Struthio camelus: one gene and its partners. The protein of the gene in region 3 binds, or shares a complex with, the protein of the main gene of each other region. Links are inferred from orthologs where the notes say so. Each region holds a gene or a part of one and is shown on either strand. Other genes may lie near its edges.

Region 1 (7,217 bases), on a different chromosome or scaffold from region 3:
CGTCGCCTCCCGGCCCCAGGACCCCCCGCACCCCCCCAACTCTGGGGACACCCGGCCCTGTCGTGTCACCCTCAACCCCAGGACCCCCCGCACCCCCCCAACTCTGGGGACACCCGGCCCTGTCGTGTCACCCTCAACCCCAGGACCCCCAGACCCCCCATCTCTGGGGACACCCGGCCCCATTGTGTCACCCCCAGCCCCAATACCCCCAGACCCCCTGACCCTGGGGACATCCAGCTCCATTGCGTCACCCCCAGCCCCAAGACCCCCAGACCCCCCGGCCCTGGGGACACCCGGCCCCGTCGTGTCACCCCCAGCCCCAAGACCCCCAGACCCCCCGGCCCTGGGGACACCCGGCCCCGTCGTGTCACCCCCAGCCCCAAGACCCCAGACCCCCCGGCCCTGGGGACACCCGGCCCCATCGTGTCACCCTCAGCCCCAGGACCCCCTGCACCTCCCAGCCCTGGGGACACCCAGCCCAGGACCCCCAGACTCACGGCTCGGGGGCGCCGCAGCGGCGGTGGTGACGCTGGTGGCGGTGGCAGCGGTGGCGGCCGGGCCGTCGCGGGGCCCCGCGGGGACGGACAGAGCCTGGGGGCAGAGGGGGTCGTGAGCGCGGGCACAGGCCGACCTCTCACCCCTGACCTTTGCCCTTGGCCCTCTGACCCCCGCCCCACCCCCACCTCTGACCCCCCCGGGCATCTTGACCCATGACCCTGCCCCGCCCCCTGAAGATCACCTTGGCCTTTGACCTCTGACCCCTGCCCTCCACCTCCACACCGGTGTCACCTTTAACCCCTGATCCTGGCACTCCTCGACCTTCGACCCCTGACCCCGGGCACTCTTCTGACCCTACACATCTCCTCGACCTTCGACCTCCGAACCCCAGCGCTGCTCTGACCCGGCCCCTAAACATCACCTCGACCTTCGACCCCTGACCCCGGGCACTCTTCTGACCCTACACATCTCCTCGACCTTCGACCTCCGAACCCCAGCGCTCCTCTGACCCGGCCCCTAAACATCACCTCGACCTTCGACCCCTGACCCCGGGCACTCTTCTGACCCTACACATCTCCTCGACCTTCGACCTCTGACCCCCAGCGCTCCTCTGACCCGGCCCTAAACATCACCTCGACCCCTGACCCCTGACCCCGGGCACTCTTCTGACCCTACACATCTCCTCGACCTTCGACCTCTGACCCCCAGCGCTCCTCTGACCCGGCCCCTAAACATCACCTCGACCTCTGACCCCTGACCCCGGGCACTCTTCTGACCCTACACATCTCCTCGACCTTCGACCTCTGACCCCCAGCGCTCCTCTGACCCGGCCCCTAAACATCACCTCGACCCCTGACCCCTGCCCCCGCCTCCACACCGGTGTCACCTTTCACCCCTGACCCCGGCGCTGCTCTGACCTCTGACCCGGCCCCTAAGCATCTCCTCGACCCCTGACCTCTGACCCCCTGACCCCCGACCCCCGGCCCCGCCCTCACGCGCGCGGCGGCCCTGGCGCAGGCCGCGGCCCGGGGCCCCGCCAGCATCATGGCGGCCTGGGCGGGTGCCGGCCGGTCCGGTCGGGTCGGGTCGGGTCGGCAGCGCCGGGACCGCGCGGCGGCGGCGCGCGGCGATGACGTCACGGGGTGGGCGGCGCCCGCGCGCTCCGGAGCGTCACTTCCGGCGGGAGGGAGGCGGAAGGTGTTTGTGGGGGAGGGGGGGGGAGGGGAGGGGAGGGGAGGGGAGAGAGGAGGGAGGGGGAGAGGGAGGAGGGAGGGGGAGGGAGGGGGAGGAGGAGGAGGAGGATAGAGGGGGAGAGGGAGGAGGAGGATGGAGGGGGAGAAGGAGAAGGATGGAGGGGAGAAGGAGAAGGATGGAGGGGAGAGGGAGGAGGAGGATGGAGGGGAAGGAGGAGGAGGATGGAGGGGGAGAGGGAGGAGGATGGAGGGGGAGAAGGAGGAGGATGGAGGGGAGAGGGAGGTGGAGGATGGAGGGGGAGAGGGAGGAGGGGGATGGAGGGGGAGAAGGAGAAGGATGGAGGGGAGAGGGAGGAGGAGGATGGAGGGGAAGGAGGAGGAGGATGGAGGGGGGAGAGGGAGGAGGATGGAGGGGGAGAGGGAGGAGGATGGAGGGGAGAGGGAGGTGGAGGATGGAGGGGAGAGGGAGGAGGGGGATGGAGGGGGAGAAGGAGGGGGAGGATGGAGGGGAGAAGGAGGAGGAGGATGGAGGGGGAGAGGGGGGGGAGCCGGGCTGGGAGGGGCCGGGAAGGAGGGCGGCCAGCGGCGGAGCTCAGCCCGGCCGCTGCAGGCCGGGGGGCCGGGGTCCCCCCTCTCCCGGGGCTCCTTCCCAGGTTGGGGGGCTCCAGGGGGGCCGGGGTCCCCCTCTCCCGGGGCTCCCTCCCGAGTTGGGGGGCTCCAGGGGGGCCGGGGTCCCCTCTCCCGGGGCTCCTTCCCAGGTTGGGGGGCTCCAGGGGGGCCGGGGTCCCCCCTCTCCCGGGGCTCCTTCCCAGGTTGGGGGCTCCAGGGGGGCCGGGGTCCCCCTCTCCGGGGCTCCTTCCCAGGTTGGGGGGCTCCAGGGGGCCGGGGTCCCCCCTCTCCCGGGGCTCCTTCCCAGGTTGGGGGGCTCCAGGGGGGCCGGGGTCCCCCCTCTCCCGGGGCTCCCTCCCAGGTTGGGGGCTCCGGGCGCCCCCCCCAAGGCTCCCTCCGAGGTTGGGGGCTCCGGGGGCTCCGGGCGCCCGGATGCGCCGTCCCCGCCGCGGCCCCAGGCTGAGGGCGACGTTCGTCCCGGCGCCGAGCCCGGCCGGGCCGGGGGCAGCCGGGGCCCAGGCGTCCGGCCGCGCCGGCGGGGGGCCGCGGCCAAGGGGCTGGGGCGCCGCTGCCGCCGCCGCCTGCTTCCAATTAACGGTGCTGCCGGCCGGGCCGAGAAACCCGAGCTGAGCAGGGGCCGCTGGGGGGGCGGGGGGGGGCCGGGCCGGAGCCCCCCGCCGGGCTGGAGCCCCTCGCCGGCGTCCTGGGGGGTCAGCTGGAGCCCCCCGCCGGGCCGGAGCCCCCCACCAGCATCCCGGGGGGCCCAGGGGGGCCAGGCCAGAGCCCCCCCGCCGGGCCGGAGCCCCCCGCCGGCGTCCTGGGGGGTCAGCTGGAGCCCCCCGCCAGGCTGGAGCCCCCCGCCGGAGTCCCGGGGGGCTCGGGGGGGCCAGGCCGGAGCCCCCCGCTGGGCCGGAGCCCCCCACTGGTGTCCCACGGGGCTTGGGGGGCCAGGCCGGAGCCCCCCGCCAGGCTGGAGCCCCTCGCCGGCGTCCTGGGGGGTCAGCTGGAGCCCCCCGCCAGGCTGGAGCCCCTCGCCGGCGTCCTGGGGGGTCAGCTGGAGCCCCCCGCCGGGCCGGAGCCCCCCACCAGCATCCCGGGGGGCCCAGGGGGGCCAGGCCGGAGCCCCCCGCCAGGCTGGAGCCCCCTGCCGGCGTCCTGGGGGGCCAGGCCGGAGCCCCCCGCCAGGCTGGAGCCCCCCGCCGGAGTCCCGGGGGGCTCGGGGGGGCCAGGTCGGAGCCCCCCGCCGGGCCGGAGCCCCCCACTGGTGTCCCACGGGGCTTGGGGGGCCAGGCCGGAGCCCCCCGCCAGGCTGGAGCCCCCCGCCGGCGTCCTGGGGGGTCAGCTGGAGCCCCCCGCCAGGCTGGAGCCCCCCGCCGGAGTCCCGGGGGGCTCGGGGGGGCCAGGCCGGAGCCCCCCGCCGGGCCGGAGCCCCCCACTGGTGTCCCACGGGGCTTGGGGGGCCAGGCCGGAGCCCCCCGCCAGGCTGGAGCCCCCCGCCGGCGTCCTGGGGGGTCAGCCAGAGCCCCCCGCCGGGCTGGAGCCCCCCGCCGGTGTCCCGGGGAGCTCGGGGGGCCGGCCGGAGTCCCCCGCCGGGCTGCAGCCCCCCACCAGGCTGGAGCCCCCCACTGGTGTCCCACAGGGCTTGGGGGGCCGGGCCGGAGCCCCCCGCCCGTGGCTCCGGGGCCGCGTTCCCCCGAGCCGGAGCGGGCGGGCGGCCGCTTGGCACCCGCCGCCCCCGGCCGCCCCCTTCGCCGGCCCGGAAAGCCCCCGGGTTTCCGTCGTCCCGGCCCGGGGAGAGGTGCGGGGCGGGGGGCTGCGGGGCGAGCGGCGCCCGGCGCCCGCCGCGGCCCCCGGGGAGGCGCAGGGCATCGCCCGCCCGCCGGCCGCTTTCGCTTCTCGCCGCCGGCGCAGGAAACCGCGGGGGGCCCCGGCGGAGGCCGCCGGGCCGGGTGACACGTCGACGCCGCCGGCCGGACCCGGCCTCGGCCGGGGAATCCTCCGGGGCTGCCCGCGCCCCCGGCCCCCCCTGGAAATACCCGGCGCGGGCGGCCGCCGGGCCCTTTCCCGAAAGGCACCGAGGTCGCGCTCGGCCCTGTGACGAAACCCGCTTCCCCCCGGCGCCGGCCGGGCCCCCGGCTCTGCGGAGAGGTGCGAGGAGGGACCGAGCCCTGGGGAGGGCCCAGGCGTCCGGGGGGGGGGCTACCCCAGCGCCCCCGACCTCAGTGCCCCGAGGGGGCCCAGGCGTCCGGGGCGGGGGGAGCGCCGCCTCCAGCATCCCCGACCCCAGCGCCCCCGACCCCTCCTCCCCGAGGGGGCCCAGGCGTCCGGAGGGGGGGGGGAGCACCGCCCCCAGCATCCCCAACCCCAGCGCCCCCGACCCCTCCTCCCCGAGGGGGCCCAGGCGTCCGGAGGGGGGGGGGAGCGCCGCCTCCAGCATCCCCAACCCCAGCGCCCCGGACCCCTCCTCCCCGAGGGGGCCCAGGCGTCCGGGGGGGGGGAGCGTCGCCCCCAGCATCCCCAACCCCAGCGCTCCCGACCCCTCCTCCCCGAGGGGGCCCAGGCGTCCGGGGGGGGGGGGAGCGCCACCCCCAGCATCCCCAACCCCAGCGCCCCCGACCCCTCCTCCCCGAGGGGGCCCAGGCGTCCGGAGGGGGGGGGGAGCACCGCCCCCAGCATCCCCAACCCCAGCGCCCCCGACCCCTCCTCCCCGAGGGGGCCCAGGCGTCCGGGGGGGAGCGCCGCCCCCAGCATCCCCAACCCCAGCGCCCCGGACCCCTCCTCCCCGAGGGGGCCCAGGCATCCGGGGGCCTGGCCCCCGCCGCCCCCGGACCCCTGCTCTGCCAAGGGGCCCAGGCGTCCGGGGCCCGGTCTCGGCGGGCGCGGGGCGGGGATGGCCCCGGCCGCTCCACCCACCCGCCCGCGCTGCACATGTTGCAACCGGCCGCCGGGGCCGGGGCGCGGGGCCGGCGGGCAGCAGCGTCGCCGCCGCCGCCGGTAAGATGCCGCCGCCGTGCGCGGTCCCCGCGCGCCCTCGCTGCCGTCGGCGATGCCGCCTCCGCCCCCCCCCCCGTCCCCCCCCCTCCCGGGGACCGGGCGTCCGAGCCGCCGCCGGGGAGCGCTGGGGGCCGGCGCCGTCGTGGGGGGCGCGGCGGGGCCGCGGGGGGCTCGGGGCTCCCGTGGGGGCGCGGCGGGGCCGTGGGGGGCTCGGGGCTCCCGTGGGGGCGCGGCGGGGCCGTGGGAGGCTAGGGGCTCCCGTGGGGGGCTCGGGGCTCCCCTGGGGGCGCGGTGGGGCCGCGGGGGGCTCGGGGCTCCCGTGGGGGTGCGGTGGGGCTGTGGGGGGCTAGGGACTCCCGTGGGGGTGCGGCTGCCCCGTGGGTCGCGGTCGCGCGTGGGCCCCGGGCGAGCGGGAGCGCGGCTGGAGCCAGGCCCAGACCCCCCGGCAGGCGGGGATGGAGCGGGGCCGCCACAGCCCCGCGCCCAGGCCCGTCCGGCCCCCCAGCGCCGCCGTCGAGGCCCCCCTGCGCCGGGAGCAGGCGCCAAGATTGGGGGGGGGGGTCCCGAAGGGCTGCTGCCGCCCCCTGAGCGTCGGCCCCGCGGTCCTGGGATGCGTCCGTCCCCCCGAGCGTCGGCCCCGGACCCCATCGAGTGTTGTCCCTTTGGTCCTGGGGTGCATCCGCCCCATTGAGCGTCAGCCCCACCGTCCTGGGGTGCGTCGGCCCCGCTGAGCGTCAGCCCCGGGCCCCCCCGAGCATCGTCCCCGGCGGTCCTGGGGAGCATCCGCCCCGTTGAGCATCGTCCCCGCCGTCCTGGGGTGCGTCGGCCCCACTGAGCGTCAGCCCCGGGCCCCCCCGAGCATCGTCCCCGGCGGTCCTGGGGAGCATCCGCCCCGTTGAGCATCGTCCCCGCCGTCCTGGGGTGCGTCGGCCCCAGGGCCCCCATAGAGCGATGTCCCCGGGGTGCTGGGGAGCATCGGCCCCGTCGGGGTCCTGGGGTGCATCCGCCCCACGGCCCCCACCGAGCGCCGGCCCCGGGCAGCATCAGTCCCGCCGAGCGCCCACCCGTGTCGCCCGCGCCGAGCGCCGGCCCGCGGCTCCTCCCGCGGCGCCCGGGCCCGCAGGGTCGAGCGAGCGCCTGACGGTCGGCCGCGCTCGAGGCCTTCGCCCGGCTCCTCCGTGCGGCGCGGCCCCGGGTGCCAGCACGCGTGAGCCCTCGCACAAGCCTGCGTGTGCCCCAGCGTGCCAGCACGCGTGTGCCCTTGTTTGCACAAGGCTCTGCGTGTGCCCCAGTGTGCCAGCACGTGTGCCCGTTTGCACAAGCCTCTGTGTGCACGAGCGTGCCAGCACACGCATGCCCCCATTTGCACAAGCCTCTGCGTGCACTGGCATGTTGGCATGTGTGTGCCCCTGTTTGCACGAGCCTCTGCGTGCACTGGTGTGCTGGCACACGTGTGCCCGTTTGCACAAGCCTCTGTGTGCACCAGCGTGCCAGCACACGCGTGCCCCCATTTGCACAAGCCTCTGCGTGCACTGGCGTGTTGGCACGTGTGTGCTCCTGTTTGCACAAGCCTCTGCGTGCACTTGCATGCTGGCACGTGTGCTTCTGCACAAGCCTCTGCGTGCACTGGCGTGTTGGCACGTGTGTGCCTCTGTTTGCACAAGCCTCTGCGTGCACTGGCGTGTTGGCACGTGTGTGCCCCCGTTTGCACAAGCCTCTGCGTGCACTGGCGTGTTGGCACGTGTGTGCTCCTCTTTGCACAAGCCTCTGCGTGCACTTGCATGCTGGCACATGTGTGCTTCTGCACAAGCCTCTGCGTGCACTGGCGTGTTGGCATGTGTGTGCCTCTGTTTGCACAAGCCTCTGTGTGCACTGGCGTGTTGGCACGTGTGTGCCTCTGTTTGCACAAGCCTCTGCGTGCAC
Region 2 (7,302 bases), on a different chromosome or scaffold from region 3:
CATCGTTAGGGGAGGTGCATCCTTGGGTGCATCCTTGGGTGCATCATTAGTGGAGGTGCATCGTTAGGGAGACGCATCGTTAGGGAGGTGCATCCTTGGGTACATCCTTGGGTGCATCATTAGTGGAGGTGCATCGTTAGGGAGACGCATCGTTAGGGAGGTGCATCCTTGGGTGCATCATTAGTGGAGGTGCATCGTTAGGGGAGGTGCATCCTTGGGTGCATCCTTGGGTGCATCCTTGGGTGCATCATTAGTGGAGGTGCATCGTTAGGGAGACGCATCGTTAGGGAGGTGCATCCTTGGGTACATCATTAGTGGAGGTGCATCGTTAGGGGAGGTGCATCCTTGGGTGCATCGTTAGGGAGACACATCGTTAGGGGAGGTGCATCCTTGGGTGCATCCTTGGGTGCATTGTTAGGGGAGGTTTGTCATTGGGTGCATGGCTGGGTGCACCCTTGGGTGCCTCGTTAGCGAAGGTCATCGTTAGGGAGGTTCGTCGTTGGGCGCATCGTTGCGGGGGGCAGCCGTGGGCGCGGGGTGGGACTGGGTGCTCCAGGGGTCGGGGCAGCACCGTGGGGGGGGGGGCCCAACACCCTGCCGTGGGGCACCCCGTGCACCCGCCGTGGGGCACCCTGGGCTCCTCCAGCACCTGCCGTGGGGCACCCCACCCCCGTGCCCCCCCCCGGGGTGCAGGCATTGGGTTGGGTGCGGGGTGCAGAGACGGGTGCAGGGACCAGGATGGGTGCAGGGAAGGGTGCAGGGCTGGGTGCTGGGTGCAGGGACCAGGATGGGTGCAGGGAAGGGTGCAGGGCTGGGTGCTGGGTGCAGGGACCAGGATGGGTGCAGGATGGGTGCAGGGCTGGGTGCTGGGTGCAGGGAGCAGGAGGGGTGTAGAGCTGGGTGCTGGGTGCAGGGACCAGGATGGGTGCAGGGACCAGGATGGGTGCAAAGACAAGTGCAGGGCTGGGTGCAGGGAGCAGGAGGGGTGCAGCGAGCAGGAGGGGTGCAGGGAGCAGGAGGGGTGCAGGGAGCAGGAGGGGTGCAGGATGGGTGCTGGGTGCAGGGAGCAGGAGGGGTGCAGGGATGGGTGCAGGATGGGTGCTGGGTGCAGGGACCAGGATGGGTGCAGGAACCAGGATGGGTGCAGGACAGGTGAAGGGCTGGGTGCTGGGTGCAGAGACTCGTGCAGGGATGAGGATGGGTGCAGGGATGGGTGCAGGGCTGGGTGCTGGGTGCAGGGAGCAGGAGAGGTGCAGGCGTGGCTGCAGGGCTGGGTGCTGGGTGCAGGGAGCAGGAGGGGTGCAGGCGTGGCTGCAGGGCTGGGTGCTGGGTGCAGGGAGCAGGAGGGGTGCAGGGATGGGTGCAGGATGGGTGCGGGGTGCAGGGAACAGGAGGGGTGCAGGATGGGTGCTGGGTGCAGGGAGCAGGAGGGGTGCAGGGATGGGTGCAGGATGGGTGCTGGGTGCAGGGAGCAGGAGGGGTGCAGGGATGGGTGCAGGATGGGTGCTGGGTGCAGGGTGGGGGTGCAGGGCTGGGGCCGGGGGGGGCGGAAGTGGGTGCAGGGCCACACGCCAGTGCTGCACGGCACGGCACACGGCTGCACACGCCATGGCGCACACACGCACACGGCTGCACACACGCCACGGCTGCACACGGCTGCACACGGCTGCACACGCACACGGCTGCACACGCACACGGCGCACACACACACACGGCTGCACACGGCTGCACACGCACACGGCTGCACATGCCATGGCTGCACATGCACACGGCGCACACACACACACGGCTGCACACGGCTGCACACGCACATGGCTGCACACGCACACGGCTGCACACGCACACGGCTGCACACATGCACACACGCACACACGGCTGCACACACGCACACGGCTGCACACGCACACGGCTGCACACATGCACACACGCACACACGGCTGCACACATGCACACGGCTGCACACGCACATGGCTGCACACGGCTGCACACGCACATGGCTGCACACGCACATGGCTGCACACGCACACGGCGCACACACGCACACGGCTGCACACGGCTGCACACAGCTGCACACGCACACGGCGCACACACGCACACGGCTGCACACACGCACATGGCTGCACACGGCTGCACACACGCACATGGCTGCACACGCACACGGCTGCACACGCACACGGCTGCACACGCACATGGCTGCACACGCACATGGCTGCACACGGCTGCACACACGCACATGGCTGCACACGCCATGGCTGCACACGCACACGGCGCACACACGCACACACGCACACGGCTGCACACGGCTGCACACACGCACAGGCCCGCACATGCCACGGCTGCACACGTGTGTGGCCTGGGCCCGGCCCGGCACTGCCCTCTCGCTCGCGCGCACCCCGGCCCCTGCCAGGGCTGGGGCAGCCCCCGGCTCGGCCTGCTCTGGGGGGGCCTCTGCACCCCCAGCCCCCTCAGCCACCCCCCAGCCCCTCTGCAGCCCCCAGCCCCATTGCACCCCTCTGCAGCCCCCCCAGCCCCTCAGCACCCCCAGCCCCTCTGCACCCCCCAGCCCCTCAGCCACCCCCCAGCCCCTCTGCAGCCCCCAGCCCCATTGCACCCCCTGGCCACCCCCAGCCCCCTCTGCACCCCTCTGCACCCCCAGCCCCTCTGCACCCCCAGCCCCCTCTGCACCCCCAGCCCCTCTGCACCCCCCAGCCCCATTGCACCCCTCTGCACCCCCCAGCCCCCTCTTCACTCCCAGCCCCTCTGCACCCCCAGCCCCCTCTGCACCCCCAGCCCCTCTGCACCCCCCAGCCCCATTGCACCCCTCTGCACCCCCCAGCCCCCTCTTCACTCCCAGCCCCTCTGCACCCCCCAGTCCCATTGCACCCCTCTGCACCCCCAGCCCCTCTGCACCCCCCAGCCCCATTGCACCCCTCTGCAGCCCCCCAGCCCCCTCTGCACCCCCAGCCCCTCTGCACCCCCCAGCCCCCTCTGCACCCCTCTGCACCCCCAGCCCCTCTGCAGCCCCCCAGCCCCATTGCACCCCTCTGCAGCCCCCCCAGCCCCTCAGCACCCCCCAGCCCCCTCTGCAGCCCCCCAGCCTCATTGCACCCCTCAGCCACCCCCCAGCCCCATTGCACCCCCTGGCCACCCCCCAGCCCCCTCTGCACCCCCCAGCCCCCCCTGAAGCCCCCCAGCCCCTCTGCACCCCCCCGAGCCCCATTGCACCCCCTCTGCACCCCGCAGCCCCTCTGCAGCCCCCCCACCCCACTGCAGCCCACAACACCCCCTGCACCCCATAGCACCCAACCCCTCCTGCACCCCCTGTGCCCCCATCCCGGACGCCTGGGTCCCCTCCAGCCTCCCCAGCCGCTGCCTCAGGCGCCGCCGCTCTATTTGCATAGCCACGCCCCCTTCCCTCGAGGGGGCGGGGCCTCCCCCCCCCCCCCAAACCAGTGACACCCCCCCCCCCCCCCGGTGACTCCCGTCCAGCACCGAGGGGGTTACCGGAGACCGGACCCCGGGGAGATGGGGGGGGGTTACCGGGGGGGGGCACCGGGGCGGGGGGGCGGCCGGTGCCGGTGCCCCCCCCCGTGCCCCCCCCCGCTCCGCCCCCCCCCCCCGGGGCCGCCCAGCGCCGCCAGAGCCCGAGCGGCAGCGGCGGCCGGAGGCGGCTGCACCGGGGGCACCGGCACCGGGCTGAGCCGGGGCCGAACCGGGGCACCGGGGGCACCGGGGGCACCGGGGGCACCGGGGGAACCGGCACCGGGCTGAGCCGGGGCCGAACCGGGGCACCGGCACCGGGACTGCACTGGGACACCGGCACTGGGACACCGGCACCGGGCTGCACTGGGCTGAACCGGGACACCGGCACCGGCACCGGGACACCGGCACTGCGACACCAACACCAGCAGCAGGACACCGGCACTGGGACACCATCACCAGCACCGGGACACCGGCACCGGGACACCAACACCAACACCAGCACCAGGACACCAACACCGGCACCGGCACCAGGACACCGGCACCGGGACACGGGCACCGGGACACCAACACCGGCACCGGCACTGGGACACCGGCACCGGGACACCAACACCAACACCGGCACTGGGACACCGGCACCGGGACACCAACACCGGCACCGGGACACCAACACCGGGACACCAACACCAACACCGGCACCGGGACACGGGCACCGGGACACCAACACCAACACCAGCACTGGGACACCGGCACCGGGACACCAACACCAACACCGGGACACCGGCACCGGGACACCAACACCAACACCGGCACCAGGACACCGGCACCGGGACACCAACACCGGCACCGGGACACGGGCACCGGCCGCGGGAGGAGCCGCCCAGGGCCGGGGCGCCCCGTCTGCACCGGGGGGGGGGACCGGCCCCGACGGGGACACGCGGTGAGTGGCACCGCAGCCGGGCCGGGTCACCGGGGGGGGGGGACCGGCCGCGATGGGGACAGGGAAGGGACGGTGGCAGCGGGACAGAACCGGGCACATGGCCGGTGGCACCGGGAGGGGAAGGGGGACACGATGAACGGCATGGGGACCGGGGACGTGGCCGGTGGCACCGGGAGGGGGGGGACCGGCCGCGATGGGGACAGGGAAGGGACGGTGGCAGCGGGACAGAACCGGGCACATGGCCGGTGGCACCGGGAGGGGACCGGGGACACGGCTGGTGGCACTGGGGTGACACAACCACTGGGACAGGGACCGGGGACGCGGCCGGTGGCACCGGGAGGGGACGGGGGACACAGTGAACGGCATGGGGACCGGGGACATGGCCGGTGGCACCGGGAGGTGACCGGGGACGTGGCCGGTGGCACCAGGAGGGGACCGGGGACACGGCCAGTGGCACTGGGGTGACACAACCACTGGGACAGGGACTGGGGACGCGGCCGGTGGCACCAGGAGGGGACGGGGGACGCGGTGAACGGCATGGGGACCGGGGACGTGGCTGGTGGCACCGGGAGGGGACCGGGGACACGGCCGGTGGCACTGGGGTGACACAACCACTGGGACAGGGACTGGGGACGTGGCCGGTGGCACCGGGAGGGGACCAGGGACATGGCCAGTGGCACCGGGAGGGGACCGGGGACATGGCTGGTGGCACCAGGAGGGGACCGGGGACACGGCCAGTGGCACTGGGGTGACACAACCACTGGGACAGGGACCGGGGACGTGGCCGGTGGCACCAGGAGGGGACGGGGGACGTGGCCGGTGGCACTGGGGTGACACAACCACTGGGACAGGGACTGGGGACGCGGCCGGTGGCACCAGGAGGGGACGGGGGATGCGGTGAATGGCATGGGGACCGGGGACGTGGCCGGTGGCACCGGGAGGGGACCGGGGACGCGGCCGGTGGCACTGGGGTGACACAACCACTGGGACAGGGACCGGGGACGTGGCCGGTGGCACCAGCACTGCGATAGGGTCAGGGAGGGGACCCGGGACACGGCCGCCGTGGGGACGGGGACTGGGGACACGGCCAGTGGCACGGGGATGGGGAGGGGACATGGGCACTGCGGGGACAGGGACGGGCAGGAGCAGCCTGGGGACACCAGGACAGGGATGGCCTGGGGGCCACCGGCACCAGGGACTTGGGGACATCGGGATAACGACTGGGGGACGCTGGGGCGACAGGGCTGGCGGTGTCACCCCCGGCGTGGCCGTGTCACCCTCGCGGTGGCTGTGTCACCCCCGCTGCAGCCGTGTCACCCCACAGCGGCCCTTGTCACCGCGCTGTGGCCGTGCCACCGTCACCGTCCCCAGGCGGGCGGGGGGGGGGGGACACCGGATCCGGCCGGGCTGGAGCCGTCGGAACAATTCCCCAAATTGGCATCAGCGGCAGCAGCCGGCCGGCGTCACCGTCCCTGTCACCGTCCCCATGGGCAGCCAGGCACGGGGACAGCGACAGCGGGGGGGGACGGGGAGGGCTGAGCCGGGGCGGGGGGTGAAGCCGGAGGGGGGAGCTGAGCTGGACAGGGGGGTCGCTCTGCCCCCTCCGTCCCCTTAACTCTGCCCCCTCCGTCCCCTTAACTCTGCCCTTCTGTCCCCTTCGCTCTGCCCCCTCCATCCCCTTCGCTCTGCCCCCCTCCGTCCCCTTCGCTCTGCCCCCTCTCGCTCCTTCGCTCTGCCCTTCTGTCCCCTTCGCTCTGCCCCCTCCATCCCCTTAACTCTGCCCCCTCCGTCCCCTTAACTCTGCCCTTCTGTCCCCTTCGCTCTGCCCCTCTCTGTCCCCTTCGCTCTGCCCCTCTCTGTCCCCTTTGCTCTGCCCCCTCTCGCTCTTTCGCTCTGCCCCTCTCTGTCCCCTTCGCTCTGCCCCCTCTGTCCCCTTCGCTCTGCCCCCTCCGTCCCCTTAACTCTGCCCCCTCTGTCCCCTTAACTCTGCCCTTCCGTCCCCTTCGCTCTGCCCCTCTCCGTCCCCTTAACTCTGCCCCTCTCCGTCCCCTTAACTCTGCCCCCCTCCGTCCCCTTCGCTCTGCCCCTCTCTGTCCCCTTTGCTCTGCCCCCTCTGTCCCCTTCGCTCTGCCCCTCTCCGTCCCCTTCGCTCTGCCCCTCTCCGTCCCCTTAACTCTGCCCCTCTCCGTCCCCTTAACTCTGCCCCCCTCCGTCCCCTTCGCTCTGCCCCTCTCTGTCCCCTTTGCTCTGCCCCGTCTGTCCCCTTAACTCTGCCCCCTCCATCCCCTTCGCTCTGCCCCTCCCTCCCTTAACCCCGCTGCAGCCCCCAACACCTCCCATCACCCTCTCCCCCTCCACCCCACCCCGCCAGACCCAACGCCATGGGCCCGCCGTGACGCCCCCGTCGCCTCCGCCGTCCCCGCCGCCCGACCATGGGCAACGGCACGGCGCCGGGCTGCCAGGTGGACGCCGACCTGGACCACCTGCTGCCGCCCTGCCTCTACGCGGTGGCCATGGGCGCGGGGCTGCCGGCCAACGGGCTGGCGCTGTGGGCCGCCCTGCGCCAAGTGCGCCAGCGCAACGAGCTGGGCGTCTACCTGCTCAACCTCTCGGTGGCCGACCTGCTCTACCTGGCCGCCCTGCCGCCCTGGCTCCACTACTTCTGGCACCGTGACAACTGGCTGCACGGCGCCGGCGCCTGCAAGCTCTTCGGCTTCGTCTTCTACGCCAACATCTACGTGAGCATGGCCTTCCTCTGCTGCATCTCGCTGGACCGCTACCTGGCCGTGGCCCACCCGCTGCGCTTCGGCCGCTTCCGGCGGGTGCGCACGGCGGCGGCCGTCAGCGCCGGCGTCTGGGCGCTGGAGGCGGCCGCCAACGCG
Region 3 (7,114 bases):
TGACTTCTGGATCTCCAAGTTAGTCCTGACCTACAGCACCCCTCATAATGAAGAAACATGTTTTCTGGGGAGATCACTGTACCTCACAGTGCCTGTTTTCTAATGTGAATCCAATGCTATTTATGTAACGGTATGTTTGCATGAATGTTCATGTCCCACACCTGTGGTATGTGATGCCATTGTGAAGATATATTCATGTGGTCCACGTACCATGCGGTGGCAATGCAAGCCCATGGGCCTTCCAGAGCATGCAGATCCCACTGTGCCTGTGCCTGGGGGCCATGAAACGCACTCTGACAGAGCAGGGTAAAGTCAGCACGTGTTGGATGCTGAATTATGCACTAGAGCCCACAGAGAAAAGCCACACCATGCCAACCGGGGGCACACCTCACACTGAACACACAACAGACCTCCACTTCAGCTTACTCCCTCTTCAGCTGCAGCTGGTCCCCTGTGTCATCTCCTGGTTGCAATACCCCTTGAATTGCCAGAGAAAGGTCCAATGAGACCTTAAACTTTGTCTCTCCATTCTCCTTCCAAAGTCCCTTTAAGTTAGCCTCATTCTTAATAGACCCATTCACAGCTCAGATGACGATTCTCTTTGCTTTCTCTTGTGAAAAGCATGGTAGGTGGAATCCCCCCCTTTTTTATAGATCACATTTCCTACGTGGTTGCCCTTTGTTCACACATCAGAAGTTCTGTCAGGCAACACAAAAGACATGTGGTGAGTAACTAGCTTTCTAAGGAAACTGGAGATGGTGGTGAGGGGAAGGAAGGGGCTAACGTAAATGCAGCAATGAGAATGGTACTGTGAGCACGTCAAGCACAGACTGAATTTCAGCACCTAGTTCCTTCCAGGAAGATTTCAAAGCAGTTTACCAAAAAAAGGTGGAAACTACAGCATGGAGAGACACATGACTTAGTCGCAAGTGCCGTTGCAAGGCAATAGTTAAAGCAATGTCTCCACAGTCCATCGTCCTATTCTGCTAGGGCACAACCACTGAAAATGAGGGGTTTTCTCAGCAGCCACGTGGGAAGAGCTGGGAGCAGGAATGGGCAGCAAGCATTCGTTTCCCGTCACTCTTGGACCTTCCAGGGACAGGAAAGCCAAGGAAAGAAATGGCAAAGAGGAAGGAAAAAAGCAAAACAGAGAAAGACCTTGTGCACCCTGCCTTACAGATGAGACCTGGCTGCTGGGGAGAGAGGATGCAGCTGGGTTAACACCTGACCCAGGACTGAGATATTTTGCTTTCCCTGCTGAGCTGGATAACATTGAGCCCACTTTAATGTCCTCCCCAGGGAACTCTGGTCATCCTCAGCTCAGGTTTTAATGTAGTGGGGAATAATCTTTCCCTCTCTGCAGCATGCTGAAGGCCATGTCCCTTCAACAGAAGATTGGGAATAGTACAGCTAGAAGATTTTGGAGGGCACAGTTGGGAATGTGGAGTGAAGGGGAGAGAAGCGAAGGTAGCGCTGGGAGGAGGCCAGTGACTACCCAGAAATGAGGTGCTCTGGACAGTTGAAAATGAAGAATGGGAGTCGTTGAGAATGAGGTGACAAACTGAGAGCAGGCAGGAGTGACCAGGACCCTGCGTTGAGGGGGACAGCAGGAAGCGGATGACTGGAGGATGATGGTTACACAGGGCAGCTGGCTGCAGGCAGCTGGAGAGAGAAGCCAGAGAAGGGGGAGGCTGTAGCAAAGTCACTGGCTGGGTGGGTGGATGAGGGAAAGTGAAGTGAAAGGAGGAAAAAGAGGAAGGAAAAGGACAAAACTGAGACTACCAGGGAGAACTAGATGAGAGGCTGAAGCAGCACTGAAAGGAAGCACAGGTAGCCCTAGGGGATGCCTGTCTGTTCTGACACAGTTCTGACTTCCAGCAAGGGATGGCCTGGGTTTGGAAGGTCATATTACTGTCAGGAAAATAGCCTTTACTCTTCTTTCATTCACCCCCTTTATCATTGCACCCCATGATTTTAGGTGCATCTCGCTGTTTGGCCCAGAAGGCAGACACAAGTCATCCTTTCCCAAGCTTGGCTGTCGTTATCTTTTCTGCTGCACAACCATGATTTTCTCAATCTATGACTTAGTCCGGTTTTCTTTGGTATACTTTACTGGTAGGAGTTCATCAGTTTCTCACAAAGGAGGCACCCAAAATTTGTTTTAATATTTTGGCCCTGACCTCTTTGTTTTTAACTCTCTCCTTCACTAAAAGGCAACAAATGTTCATTTCCCTTTTGGAAGAACATTAAACCTTTTGAAGGAAAGCACAAGTACTGTTAACAGTTTCCTTATGCAGACAAGAAGCACGCAATGAGAAAGGTTGGCAGGATTTTCATTTACTGAAAACTACTTAACTCCAAGAGGAATTGTAGGAGCTTGGGAGTCTTCTGCATTTCTGAAGATGAGATTCTCAGAGAACTGTGTCAAGCCAGCAAAGATCTCTTGGTTTTAAAACTTGGACTAGAGCTCAAGAATTGCTGGCTTTTGTTTCTATACTAAGACCACTAAGATGTGCTTCTTGGATGATTAGATGAATTTTATGCAACCACATCCTGCTCTCTTTTGATAAATGCTTTTTTTATAAAGATCATGTGGAATAACTCACATGGAATTTATCTCCTTGTGGGCACATCCCCTATATAAGGTGCAAACATTAATACTCATCACAGATTTTGAAGAAGGAGGGTCCTTGCAGTAAACAGGCAGTGACATTTTCTCATGTTAAGCTCAGCTAACAGTTTCCTCATTCATCTCTTCCTTTTTCTTTTTTTAAACTTAAAATTATTGTTAAGAAAAAGCATCAGAGCACTGAGGGAAGAAATCAGTAGGTGCCAAAGTCAAGGAGATGTAATAAAGGGAGATAAAAGAAATGTTTAATGTAACTATTGCATAGGCACTTGCATGTATATATGTGATTTCTGCAATATAGTCTATAAGTGGCCACATCAAGAGGAGCATGACACAGATGTACCATATTCGCAGCTGACCTACGTAACTCGCGTATGCGAGTTTTTCAGTCAGATGTGTCCTTACGTCTTCAGACAACAACCAACATGTCAGTGGGCTGCTATACGAGAGCAGTCTGATTTGACCAATATGTAGGACTAAGACTTCTCTGGATAGATTTGAACGACTGTATCAATAATCAAAGACAACGATCTTTTTGCCTTTAATATTATGGACCAGATCTTCAGTCAGTGTAGGCCTGTGGAGGCAGTGGAGTGCCATGCTGGTATTCGGTGGTGCGTTCGCAGGTTAATTTCTGCTCGTGATGCACAAATGGTAAAACAGAATCAACCGTCCTCAGGGGCGGTTCACACCAAGAGGGGATTTTCAATCCTTGCTTGTCCCTCAGCTTATTATTTCTCTATCCCACACGTAAACGTTTGCCATCCTTAACAAAGTATCCCTAGGAGAACCTTTAAACACTTTAAAGTGCTTTGTTTCTTATTAAGCTACGAGATGATAGAAAGTGCTGCTGGCTCTGTCTGCTTATGACCCCCGCGTGAAACTCGGCACGTTTTTCCAACGTGGTGGCACATCTCTTTGCAGAGGAGCGGACAGGAAGCGCATGCCAAATCGTTCAGAAGGTTGTACAGAAACGATTCTCTTTTTCTACCAAGAACAAAAACTGCTGAGCTGGCAGGCTCCATCCTGCACCCTCTGACCGAGGGCTGAACCCCCCCGCAGCCGCTTGCGCTATCCGCTTCCTGGAAGAGGCGCCGGGCCGGGCCGCCACCATGGCCGAGGCGTGCGTCCCTGCGCCCGCGCACCGGTTTTGGGGGGGGGGGGAAGGCCGGGCCTCAGTTTCCCTCAAGGGAGCACAGACTTCGCCTGCGTTTGCGGCTCTGGCAGCCGTGAGCGGCAGCAGCGTTCAACACGTCTAACCGCCGCCTCCGCCCTCCCGCCATTTCCTGTGAGGGCCGCTCGTGGGCGGGGCTCGCGCCGCGGTCACGTGACAGTCTGGGGGAGCCCTGCGGGTGAAGGGCGGGAAGAGGGGCGTCACGTGACGAAGGCCGCTCGCGGCGGCCGCAGGGCGGCAGCGGCGGCGGCGCCCACAGTCACGTGAGAGGGCGTGCCCGGCGGGAGCGGGGGGGGGAGGTGTCACATGGCGGGGCGGGGCGGCGGACGCGCATGCGCGGGCAGAGAGCGGGCTGCTGCGGGCCGGGCCGGGCTGGGCGGCCGCTCCCCTCGTTGGCAGTGCTCGCTAAGATGGCGGACTTCCTGCCGTCTCGCTCCGTGCTGTCGGGCTGCTTCCCCGGCTGCCTGCTCACCAGCGGCGAGGCCGAGCAGCAGCGCAAGTCCAAGGAGATCGACAAGTGCCTCAACCGCGAGAAGACCTACGTGAAGCGCCTCGTCAAGATCCTGCTGCTGGGGGCGGGCGAGAGCGGCAAGTCCACCTTCCTCAAGCAGATGCGGATCATCCACGGGCAGGACTGGGACCGGGCGGCCCGCGAGGAGTTCCGCGCCACCATCTACAGCAACGTGATCAAGGGTGCGTGAGGGCGGCGGCGCCCGCGGGGACGGGACGGGGCCGGGCCCCGCTGTGGGGTGTGTGTGGGGGGGGGGGTCGCGGCGCCATCCCGCACGGGCAGCGCCTCCCGTTCCCCCCCCTCCCCCCTCCACACACGCACCCGGGGCGGCGGGTGGCCCGGGCCGGGCCCGGCGGAGGAGGGGAGCAGCGGCGCGGCGCGGCGGCCGTTGCCGGTGGAGGGAGGGAGGCCGGCAGCGAGCGGCGGGGGGACGGGCGGAGCGCGCACCTGGCTGCGGGAGGGCGCGGCGCCGGCAACCGGGCTGACACATCCACTCGGAGGAACCCCCCCCCCCCCCCCCCGCGCAGAGCCCCGTTGGGAGCCGCGGTGCCGGGAGCCTGCGCACATGGCTGAGGAGCCGACCGCTGACTTCCCCGCTGTCATCCGCGTTTGCTCCCTCTTCCCTCCATCGCTGCCTTTGCTCGCCTGGCTTTCGAGCTGGACTGTGTCGCGTCCGAGCGAAGCCTTGACTAAGTCGCTCAACATAGCGAAGCGCTGTAAGACCCCCGGCCCCGAGTTTTGGGGAGGGGGGGGGGCTTGGGTATTTTGTGGCCTAAGTCCTGCTGATTCTGAAAGAGAATTGCTTTAGAAAACTATTTATAAACCAAGCCTATTTATAAATAGCAGGGTAGTAGCAATTATGAGCAGGTACATTAACCTTATTATGGTCTATTAATAAAATCAGGTAACTTTTACTCTGTAAAAGCACACAGGCAAGAACTGCAAATCTTACTTTGTAGCTACGTTCCTGCAGTCATAGGTTTTGACAGATGGAAAAGGCAGTGATTCTTGAAAAGATGGTACTGACGATGTTGAACCAGTGTGTTGTTATAGAGCCAGCTGTTAGTACATCTTGATTCCTTATGCCTCTCCCGTGCCTTTATGGTTGCTTGTTCTTTCTTCTGGAGTTTTCTTTTTATTTTTGTTTTTTTCCCTCACCATCATTAAATCTAGTACCAGAATTTATTTCCTTGCATTTGCGTTATCATTGCGTTATCAGCCTTGGCACAACACGATTTTTCTTTTCTTTCTTTCTTCCTTTTTTTTTTCCTTTGAAGTCCTGTGTAAAGCAGGTTTAAAATGTTCAGCTTCTACTAGAGAATATTTACTGTTGCAAAAAAGAAAAAAAAGTGTGACAATGTTTAGGTGATAAGATCCCTTCTGCACTTAAGAAGTAAAGACGTAAAATTTAGAAGTTGTGGTTTTAGTAAATGTTTCCTTCATAGCTCTGAAAATATTAATAGCAGTGGCTACTTTCTGCAAGTAGGTATAAGTAGATACCAAGCTCATTAGAATACAATGACTAGGAAACCTTAAAATAAGGCCTCAGATAGTTAAATATATTCTGAAATGAGCTTTTAGACGTGCTTCATTTGTCTTATTATTCCCGCCAGGTCAGTGTAACAGCCAGAAAATGGTTCTGGGGATCAGAAAAAAAAGTGTAAATATCTGTTAAAGAGTTTTGATAGCACGGATTTACTCACTAAAAGTAGTGCTTCTGCGAGAGTTGTACTGGTACTATGGATATTATGGTCGTGATCAGGGCTGTGTTCTTCTGGTAGCAAATATCTCAGGGGCTACTTGAAAATTTAATGCTTTGAGTCAATTTTGCAGACATTTCATTATTTCTTACTGTGTGGTTAGTCCTATTGAACTCTGACTGCACACGGAGTAAGTGCATTGTTCAAGTCTTTACAAACTTGTAGGCTAGTGAAACAGTAGATGCTGAGAAATTCTAATTGCGATGCTCTTTCATGTTGTTGAAGGTGTGAGAGTCCTCGTAGATGCCAGAGAGAAACTTCATATTCCTTGGGGAGATCCCGCCAACCAGAGCAATGGAGATACGATGATGGCTTTTGATACGCGGTCAGTCACAGTGGTGCAAGGAATGGTGGAGACAGCGGTTTTTTTACAGTACCTTCCAGCTATCAGAGCGCTATGGGCAGATAGTGGTATCCAGCATGCGTATGACAGGCGCAGAGAATTCCAGCTGGTAAGATTTGCCTTTCAGTGTTTTTAGTTGAGCGTGTATGATGTCTTGTATGATGTCTTGTTCCTATATTGCTTTTCAATGAAACGCTGATCAAGCAGCCTCCATGTGAATGTTAAGCGTGTTTGAATGGTTGAGTGTTACACTACGGTATTGTAAACAGATGTGTTTAACTCCTTTTTTCTTTTTTTAAACCAAGAATAATAAAGAGCTCTGACACAGTTGTCCTCGTTTCATGTGTGAGAGAACTGAGACACAGAGTTTTTAATTCCGTAACTAAGCTAGGAGCTGATGGCTAGAAGCTGTGTAGTGTGTTTACCATATGATTATTCTGACCCCTTGTTAAATAGTGTATTGGCATTAAAAAAACATTGGATTACAATAAAGAAAGGCTTAATAGTATTGTGATTTTTAAGAAAAGATATGCATGGGTTAATCAGAAGAATTTAAAAACCACTCCCTTCTCAATTCCAATTTGAGCTATCTTGCAAGCATTCCCTGTGTATACTTCCTGTTTAAATTTAAACGTGTATGTTAATTCTCATGTAATGAGGTTTTTGTTATATTGAAGTTCTCAGCTGAAGATGGAGT
Region 4 (7,646 bases), on a different chromosome or scaffold from region 3:
GTGGTTTAAGGAGGCTATGGAAGTTGCTGAGATTAGCAAACCCTTTAGAGAAGAGGAGAGTGTTTTCATCTTAGTTCCATATTAGTTTTCATATCCAAAAAATCATGTTTGTACGATTGGTTTTACTGTAGCTTGCTTTTCTGCAGTATACTGAAAGAACATTGATAGTAAATGGGGAAAATCAATAATTTAGATCATTCAAAAAAGCAAAATCCCTCAGAGTAGCACTTTAAGCAGGAGATGAACTAAGTATAGTAAATACATGCCTTTGGACATAGACAAGGCATCATTGCTGCACTAGTCTCACCTCTGGAGATAGCTTTTGCTGTTGCTGTACATGCATGTTTGTGAACTTGTGAACAGTGGCACGAATGTGGTTTTCTGCATGGTGACTATCAGTTTACCTGTTCTTGCAGTTATCAGTTGCAGTTCAGATTTGATGATTGAGATCTTAATAAGAACACACATTTGGCAGCCACTGCCAATATTAGTCAAATCTCTTTATGATTTCTCTCCCCACCCTCATTCCTTTTGCCACTTAGTTCTAAAATAAGACTACAAAAGACAAGAATGTGTTATTTCCTATGGAATAAAGTCTTCAATATCATCTATAATGGGCTCAGATGTTCCTACTGAGAAATAACATGCAGAATGGCTTCTGGGTGTAAACTCCATTTGTGTTGGACTGAACGATAAACTTATTTCACAAGGTGGTTGAATGAAATTTTCATGGAGTTGCTTTTACCCAGAAGGGCATGGGAGAAATTAAGTAAGCCTACAAAAGAGAAATTGGCAAAATTTCAAAGGAGAAACTTTATCATTGTGAAACACATCTCTGTTACAGAAAATATGACTACCTGAATGGTGCCAAAAAATACGCAGTTAATATAGGCAGTGACTCTCTGGCAAATGAGACTTGGCTTAATCATATATTAAAACATGATGTATTTTTTATTATAGGATTAGCCGACTTCACATAAGCTTAACGTTCTGTTGCTAAACACTGAGGTTTAGCCTAGGTTATCAAAGATTCAATTAAATGCATTGTGTACCTACAAATCTTGAGTTGCACAAAAGCCTAAACTATTCTCGAAAAATGACGCTTTTTTTAGTGTCCAGGGTAAGATGTTCAAGGCACTATCACAATGATAGTAAATAGAAAATAAAAAGATAAATCCAGTAACTCTTGATCAGTAAGTGGCACCGAAGAACTTAAATGCATAATTTGTTGTATGACAGCTATGTGCTTGCTTGTATTTGGATCAGCCTCTTACCTTTTATTCTTTGCGAAAACATTAATCGGTTTAACATTACAACTGTAGCATGGTATAAGTATTTTATCTGACTAATCCTAAATTTTGTTGCCAAAAAGCTGGATTTTGTTTTCTGGCACCAACTCAGCAGCTTCACGTTTTCTTAATTAGAAAAATATTTTTGTATGATAACATTGGCCTTGTGAATTCACACCAAGATTTGTTTATTTGTTTCTTTCTCCAGTATGAACTGTTCTATTGTCCTTCTTGATATAATTGACTCAAAGGAAATCTCATGTGATATTTTCGTAAGAATGTGGCTTACTTTCTGACTTATTTTTGCCAAAATGTCTCTTACTATCTGTGGTGTCGTAGGCTGACTGTAGAACACTGGCCACTGCCTTCCTTAGATTCTTTTGTTAGATGGCATTGTGCAAATAACTTTTGTCTGATATTTCTTAACGATTAAGTGTTTTCATGGCTTTTGTGGTGCTTTGCTGTTCTGAGAAGTACTTGAGTCCCTTATCAGCAGTGATTCCTGTGCAGGTGGAGCCCTGACAAAGTCAGTGGGCCTGGTAGAGTGCTGTGCTCCTCATGAGGTAGCTTGCTACATCAGATCAGATATCTTCTGACTCAGCAGTCTGGTTGCGCTATTGAAGAATCTTCCTATCATTAATCACACTAATACAGATATAAATGCATACAGATTTTATTAGAACGATCTTTCACGCTAATAAAACATCCGTGCCTCTCCTGTATCATACTTTCTTTCAAAGGCAATATACGTTTTGCAGACAATTTTTAAAGCCTGTACAAAATCCTAGTGTAATGCTTTCTTAAAAGGTCTTTTATTATACTAAAATTGTTCCTTAAAATGCATGAAAGGGCTCTTTGGCTTTTTGGGTTCTTTTTTTTTTTTTTTTTTTTTTTGCTATGTGTTGGAAATCTAAAAAAAAATCGTATTTCAGATTTCACGCTGGATTTTTAGTGATGATTCTTGCCAAGGTTAATATCAGTTGACTCTCAGGAAGAAATGAATAGGGAGAATATGCAAATACATGAAAGATGTCTAAGGCCACCGATTGATTGGAAAAATACAGCTGGAACTGACCGAAAGAAGTAAATTCTCATCTTCAATCATGTAATTTGCATCTGTTTTCACTTTTCATTTACAGTGTAAACTATGTACATTATAACAATGAGAGCTAGTAAAGTAAACTCTAATTCTTTTGAGGTGCCTGAATAAAAGACATTGTATGCAACCTACTGTGACAGTGAAATATTTTCACCCAGTGCAGTTCATACTAACATTCTTTTGAGCGAGGGGACTGAAAGAGAAGAAATGAGAGGTTAGAAAATAGGAAAAAAACACAACACAAAAAAACCCCAACCCTTCGAACTGCAGCACTTTTGTTTTAAGTGCTGCCAAATGCAGGTTGAATCTGTCTGCCAGAATATGGGAACAGCTTCTTTCAAAAACAAAGTTATAGTCTTGGTGAATGGGGTGAAGCTAGCATAGACCAAGCCCTGGCTCCTTTGAAAGACTGAAATGAGCCGTGCAACAGAAGAGCTTTCAGTCTGCACTGTAGACACTGACACCTTCTAGTACTTGAGATGTAGCCAACAGGAAGAAAAGAGTTTTAACTCCCTTTCCTGTCCATCAACTGTACTGTGTACAGAATGCAGGAAGAAAGGATGTGAGATAGGGATGCGCAAGTCAAAGAAGGACAAAATGTACAAGGCAAACTGCTTCTCCATGAGTCATGACAGTCCAGTCATCAGCAAGGACAGGTTCTTTATGCTGTCCCTCATGGCATTTCAACCTTGTATGATAACTAGAGAGAGCATTTTGTTAGGTCCTTGGCCTTCCTGTTGAGTGTGACCTCAGTAAGAGGTTTCTAAATACAATGGCAATGCATTGCCATTGACTGAATATGTCAGATCAGGTCTGAGAGCCAGCACACGGCCATCCCGTTGCTGCAGTCTTGCTTAAGGCCTACTTCACAGGCTCTCATCAACAGTGAGGGCAAGAAACTCTTCTTGCGTATAGAGACACAATTCAATGTTGGAATAACTTATACGAAGAGAAGGGAGGGAAAAGCTTTGTTAGTCGTGACCCTGGTATCTGTAAAACCACTTCTGTTTTGGAGTTCTGTGAGTAAATAAATAATATCAATCTCCTGACTAAAATGGCTATACTAGTCACAAAGGTGTGTATTGAGAAGGTGGTAAGTATGGCAGAGGATCATGTTCTTGTTCCTTGTGGATGTGTAAATTTAATCAAACTGCCCATGTGATTATTTGAGTAGTTTCAAGAATACCTTAGAAGCTATGGAAGGATAGCTGAATTTTTCTCCTAAACTGTGTGGTGTGGGGGTTTTTTGCGTGTGTGCGAGCAATAGACATTAAATAATAGTACGTCAACTACTTTTCTGGAAGGTTCATGACAAGCCAGAAAAATTAGCACTAAAATTAAAAATTGCCACAGGTGTGTGTTAGTATCAACTGTAACCAGCTAGTTAATGCCTGTATTTTTGACCAGGGAGCCATTTCTATCCAGAATATTTATTGGAGTATTAGCAGAGGCTGTGATATTACAGAAATTTAAGATTAAATTTAACAGCTAGATTTTAAGCTGCTCCTTTCTAAGATGTTTTGTTAAACCCTTCAATCCCCGTTATGCGCTAAGTTCTTATTCATGAACTTAATGATTCCAATGAAAACAATGGAAGAAAACCGTACAAATTTTTTATTCTGTAGTGTAAGACAGATTCTGTTATTCTCTTTGCTTGTATTTACGTAGTTAAGATTACGTAGTAAGGATTTTTAACTTCAGGATAAATTTCAGGTATAGCATTTCATTAATTTTCTTCTTTAATAACATAATCATTCTGATTGAACAGGAGGTGAACAAAGGAAGCTGGAACTAAGTTAAGTTTAATTTTTCTCATGGTAGCTCACAGTTCACTTTTTTATTAAATAGGCACATGCTAGTTATTGCTGTGAAGTCATTGCAACTGAAGTACAAAATCTCCCCAACCTGTGTCAGAAAGATTGATCTTTATTTTTGTTAAACTCTTTGTTTGAAAACTTCTACCCCTACCCAGACCTCACAACAACTACCTTTCCCCTTCCTCCCTGCCATGGGGCATATAAAATCCCAGTGCTCTTTTTCTCTTTTTTCTCTTTCTCTATTGGTATGGGGTTGGGTGTTTTGTTTTGTTTTTTTTTTTTTTTGATGCAGATCATCAGGCTTTCTGTTCTGTTTGGGGACTTAAATCTACCTGTCAGCAAACGTCCTAGCTGCAGAGCAGCTCCTCCCCAGCCTTTGCTGCTCTCTGTTTGGCAGGGATAGAAAATTGAGAGGCCTTTCAGTGAGCTGCTGCCAGCACTGCGCTGTGTAGCAGAGCCTGCAGCGGGGCTTGCCGCTCCCCCCTCCCTCACTCAGGAGGGCACCAGGGGAGCTGGGTGGGAGAGAGATCCTGGAAGCAACCTGTCCAGGGGGCTTAGCATAGGCTGCCTGCAGTTATCCACACAGTACGTACAGAGCTTTGTGCTATTAGTGATGGGCAAGTACTTTAAATGAACGTTGTTTCATCTGCAAGTTCTTCAATAACTGACTGTAACGTCTTGTCTTCTGAGTGTTGGATTGGTTGATCCGGCTTGCATGCAAGATTCCCTGTACTACTTCTGGTCTGTGGTGGGAGCAGTGTGACTTTTCAGATCAGTTTCCAGGGAATCACACTAATAAATTCAGAATTTGATTCTGTAAATAATCTCTGTCTGCTTGCAATTTGCTGTTGCCACAAAAATTTCTGGCAGTGAACATGTTTGCTTGGATTCTCGCAATTGTTTTGGTAGGTATATTCTTTTCCTTGACAGGCCCTTCTTGGCAAATATTTCAAATTCTTGTTTTTCTCTTTTTACATTTTAGTTTTTCTCATGTTTTTTAGCTGCAGCTCTTCATTATTTCTAAGGTGGCTCTACTTGTTAGTACATGATGCAGAATTTCTGGATACAGAGGAGTTTCTGGCTATCTGTAACAATGGAAGGAGTAAGTAGTAAAACTTAAAGGGGGAATAAGCAAAAGTCAGGCCAGTTATAACTAAGTGGGAAACCAAATTTCACTTCCTACAAAAATTTGAAGTTCTCAGAGTTCTTTTATTGTGTAGGTCTACAGTCATGGCTACAATCCAAATACTTAATTTTTTCCCAATAGTGAACTTCTTACAATAACTAATTTTGGTAACATTCAAATATTCACGAGGCATGAATATCTTACTACTTCCTGAAATTAAATATGTTCTCTTCAGTCTTTGGAGCCCAAAGTCTTTAATCAAAGCCCAAAGGAGCTTCAGTCTTTGGAATCCAATCAACTAGACAATCACCTGCAAGGAACTAGATACCTTCAGACGCTTCAGAAGTTCGGTATACATCTGAGGAGCCAGCTGGGTAAATCAGGACCATGGTCGCTAGACAAACCTACTGGCCTTCCTGCTATATGATCTCTGTAGAGCGTCAATGGAAAATTATTTCATCAAAAAAGCAATAACCTTCTCTAGCCAACAGCCTAGTATGGAAGAAGTTGAGATTAAGAAGTAAGAAAGAGGGTTAATATGCTGGAAGGAGTAGACCTAAGGAAAGGGACCAGGTAAACATAGGCTGATACAGGAACCTGAAGGTATGAAACCAAGAGACACAAAATGGAAGGTCGAGAGAAAGGGTAGCTGAAACACCTAAGAGTCAGAAGACAGCCATAGATTGTCAGTGGTGTGCATGGAAGCAGAATTGTGCGATATCTTTTTCTGTAGATCAACATCTTGTATATCCATGCATTTTAGGTAGAGAATGCTTTGCTGCTTGAGTAGGTGTCTGGGGCTGAAAACAAGATCTAACTTATACTTCTAAGCTATAGAAGATATACCTCTAAGCTAAAAAAACGATAAAATAATTTGAATTTTGCTGAGATGTTAGCATGGTCTGATTCAGTTTTCTTAAGTTCTAATGTTGCTTACCTCAAGTGTATATGGCTTGTGTGAGGATAAAGAAGGAGCTGAAATGGGAATGCAGGGAAAAGATGAACAGGGATGGAGAGCTTATCAAAATTTGTTTAAAATATATTGTTTCAATTTTTTCATTAAGAAAGTAAAGAACTTGGGAACTTGTTTTCAGAAACAAGATATTAACACAGAAGAAAAGAGTAAATGAATATATTAACCAGTTCTAGCTGTCTTTTTTTAACATATAAAATAGTGGTTAATGCATGTGATAGAGTTTAGAATGTAGTAATTGTGAGGCTTTTATTAAAAAATGTACTTAAATTTGTTTAACTTTGATAAAAATAAAAGGGAATGGAAGTACAGTGGCTTCTATAGAAGTTTGGGAGTCTTTTCTCAGCTTGTCCGGTAGTTTTGCTGTGTAGCTTTGAATAAATCAATCAAATGGTTAGTGCCTCAGTTTCCCCATCTTGATAGAGACATAATAAACCTAATCCCTCAGAGTACCAGGTGATCTTAATTAGTTTTTATAACTCGTATTTCTTAGGCAGAAATACAAACTTATTTTAATATAAATTTTTAGATCTCCTTCAAAAACTTCATTCCCAAATCTGTTATTCTTATGGGTTTGAAATATGAACACTTATCCTGGCTTTGTTTCTTCTCTAAGCGTGCAGATCACTAAAAACAGCGATCTCTTTAGTCTGTTTGCTGAACCACATTGACTTGTTTCCACTTGCTCCTCTAGCTGGCTGGTGTTAGGACCCTGAAAAGAGACAGCAGCAACGTGATATAAATAGAGTACCAGAATGGGACAAAGTTTGAGAAGAAAGCATGACATCACTCAGACTTGCTCTCCACCCAAAAATGATCTGAGATGGAGGTGCAAAAGTGAACTGGACAAGCGAGGAGTTAACAAGTCATTTTAGTCCAGTTCCCGAGGAAACAGTTATACGCCCTACACGCTATAAGGAAGTACACTTTCTTGCTAGCAAAACCAAAACTGGCTTCAGATTTCTGACAACGTGAAAGTAATTGAAAGGAAAAGACAACTATAGAAAGAAAGTTGAAAACGGATCTTTTTGTTTGGCATAGATTATAACAGAAATATTTGACTTCTTTCCATGGAAGAATACAATTTTTGGATCTGATGCACGTTTCTTATAATCTTGCTCCAATCATGGTAATTTATTTACGGATAAATGAAGAGATCAAAGTGTGAAGCAAGTAGTTATTCCTTAAAGGATCTGGAAGAATATTTTGCCATTGCTGAAGGAACAGAATTCTTGAACCTGCATGGAAAATGTCCCTTTTAATACAAAAAGGAGCAAAGGAAAATTTATGACTGAAACATTACAGGAATTTGATCTCTATTGGTCTTTTAACCTTAAAAAGA

Evidence for each region.
Region 1: the proteins of GNA13 (region 3) and S1PR2 are in contact, whole or in part, in a cryo-EM structure (PDB 7T6B), measured with the Homo sapiens proteins. The link is inferred for Struthio camelus from reciprocal best matches to the Homo sapiens genes GNA13 and S1PR2. Residues at the interface, in NP_006563.2 of Homo sapiens: Arg47, Val216, Phe359, Lys363, Asp364, Ile366, Leu367, His368, Asp369, Asn370, Leu371, Gln373, Leu374, Met375, Leu376, Gln377; in NP_004221.3 of Homo sapiens: Ser66, Met68, Tyr69, Leu72, Arg130, Ala133, Ile134, Lys136, Val137, Lys138, Leu139, Tyr140, Tyr209, Ile212, Val216, Ser219, Gln227, Thr228, Leu231, Leu232, Val235, Tyr288.
Region 2: the proteins of GNA13 (region 3) and GPR4 are in contact, whole or in part, in a cryo-EM structure (PDB 9JHP), measured with the Homo sapiens proteins. The link is inferred for Struthio camelus from reciprocal best matches to the Homo sapiens genes GNA13 and GPR4. Residues at the interface, in NP_006563.2 of Homo sapiens: Arg47, Pro341, Tyr343, Phe359, Lys363, Asp364, Ile366, Leu367, His368, Asn370, Leu371, Lys372, Gln373, Leu374, Met375, Leu376, Gln377; in NP_005273.1 of Homo sapiens: Gln45, Asn50, Arg115, Ala118, Val119, Ala120, Pro122, Leu123, Ala126, Ile204, Val208, Ser211, Val212, Ser213, Thr214, Glu218, Lys221, Ile222, Leu225, Asn290, Glu291, Gly292, Ala293.
Region 4: the proteins of GNA13 (region 3) and ADGRD1 are in contact, whole or in part, in a cryo-EM structure (PDB 9V0U), measured with the Homo sapiens proteins. The link is inferred for Struthio camelus from reciprocal best matches to the Homo sapiens genes GNA13 and ADGRD1. Residues at the interface, in NP_006563.2 of Homo sapiens: Val49, Val216, Phe218, Phe359, Val362, Lys363, Asp364, Ile366, Leu367, His368, Asn370, Leu371, Gln373, Leu374, Met375; in NP_942122.2 of Homo sapiens: Asn599, Arg601, Leu657, Met660, Val661, Ile662, Val664, Phe665, Ser667, Val737, Ile738, Ile741, Ala761, Val764, Asn810.

What each region holds. Positions count from the first base shown.
Region 1 is NC_090972.1:4,939,669-4,946,885, forward strand, and holds the start of S1PR2 (sphingosine 1-phosphate receptor 2), read left to right. Parts: upstream 1-4,212; 5' UTR 4,213-4,448; intron 4,449-5,279; exon of another isoform or gene 5,280-5,294; intron 5,295-7,217. Other genes in the region: MRPL4 (large ribosomal subunit protein uL4m), read right to left, coding at 498-591, 1,494-1,544. UniProt on the Homo sapiens protein: Receptor for the lysosphingolipid sphingosine 1-phosphate (S1P). S1P is a bioactive lysophospholipid that elicits diverse physiological effects on most types of cells and tissues.
Region 2 is NC_090957.1:1,502,455-1,509,756, reverse strand, and holds the start of GPR4 (G-protein coupled receptor 4), read left to right. Parts: upstream 1-4,285; 5' UTR 4,286-4,420; intron 4,421-6,743; 5' UTR 6,744-6,852; coding exon 6,853-7,302. UniProt on the Homo sapiens protein: Proton-sensing G-protein coupled receptor activated by extracellular pH, which is required to monitor pH changes and generate adaptive reactions. Activated by an optimal pH of 6.8-7.2.
Region 3 is NC_090960.1:3,531,835-3,538,948, reverse strand, and holds the start of GNA13 (guanine nucleotide-binding protein subunit alpha-13), read left to right. Parts: upstream 1-4,107; 5' UTR 4,108-4,135; coding exon 4,136-4,496; intron 4,497-6,299; coding exon 6,300-6,526; intron 6,527-7,114. UniProt on the Homo sapiens protein: Guanine nucleotide-binding proteins (G proteins) are involved as modulators or transducers in various transmembrane signaling systems.
Region 4 is NC_090958.1:14,127,941-14,135,586, reverse strand, and holds the start of ADGRD1 (adhesion G-protein coupled receptor D1), read left to right. Parts: upstream 1-4,643; 5' UTR 4,644-4,790; intron 4,791-5,206; 5' UTR 5,207-5,307; intron 5,308-6,998; 5' UTR 6,999-7,546; coding exon 7,547-7,646. UniProt on the Homo sapiens protein: Adhesion G-protein coupled receptor (aGPCR) for androgen hormone 5alpha-dihydrotestosterone (5alpha-DHT), also named 17beta-hydroxy-5alpha-androstan-3-one, the most potent hormone among androgens. Also activated by methenolone drug.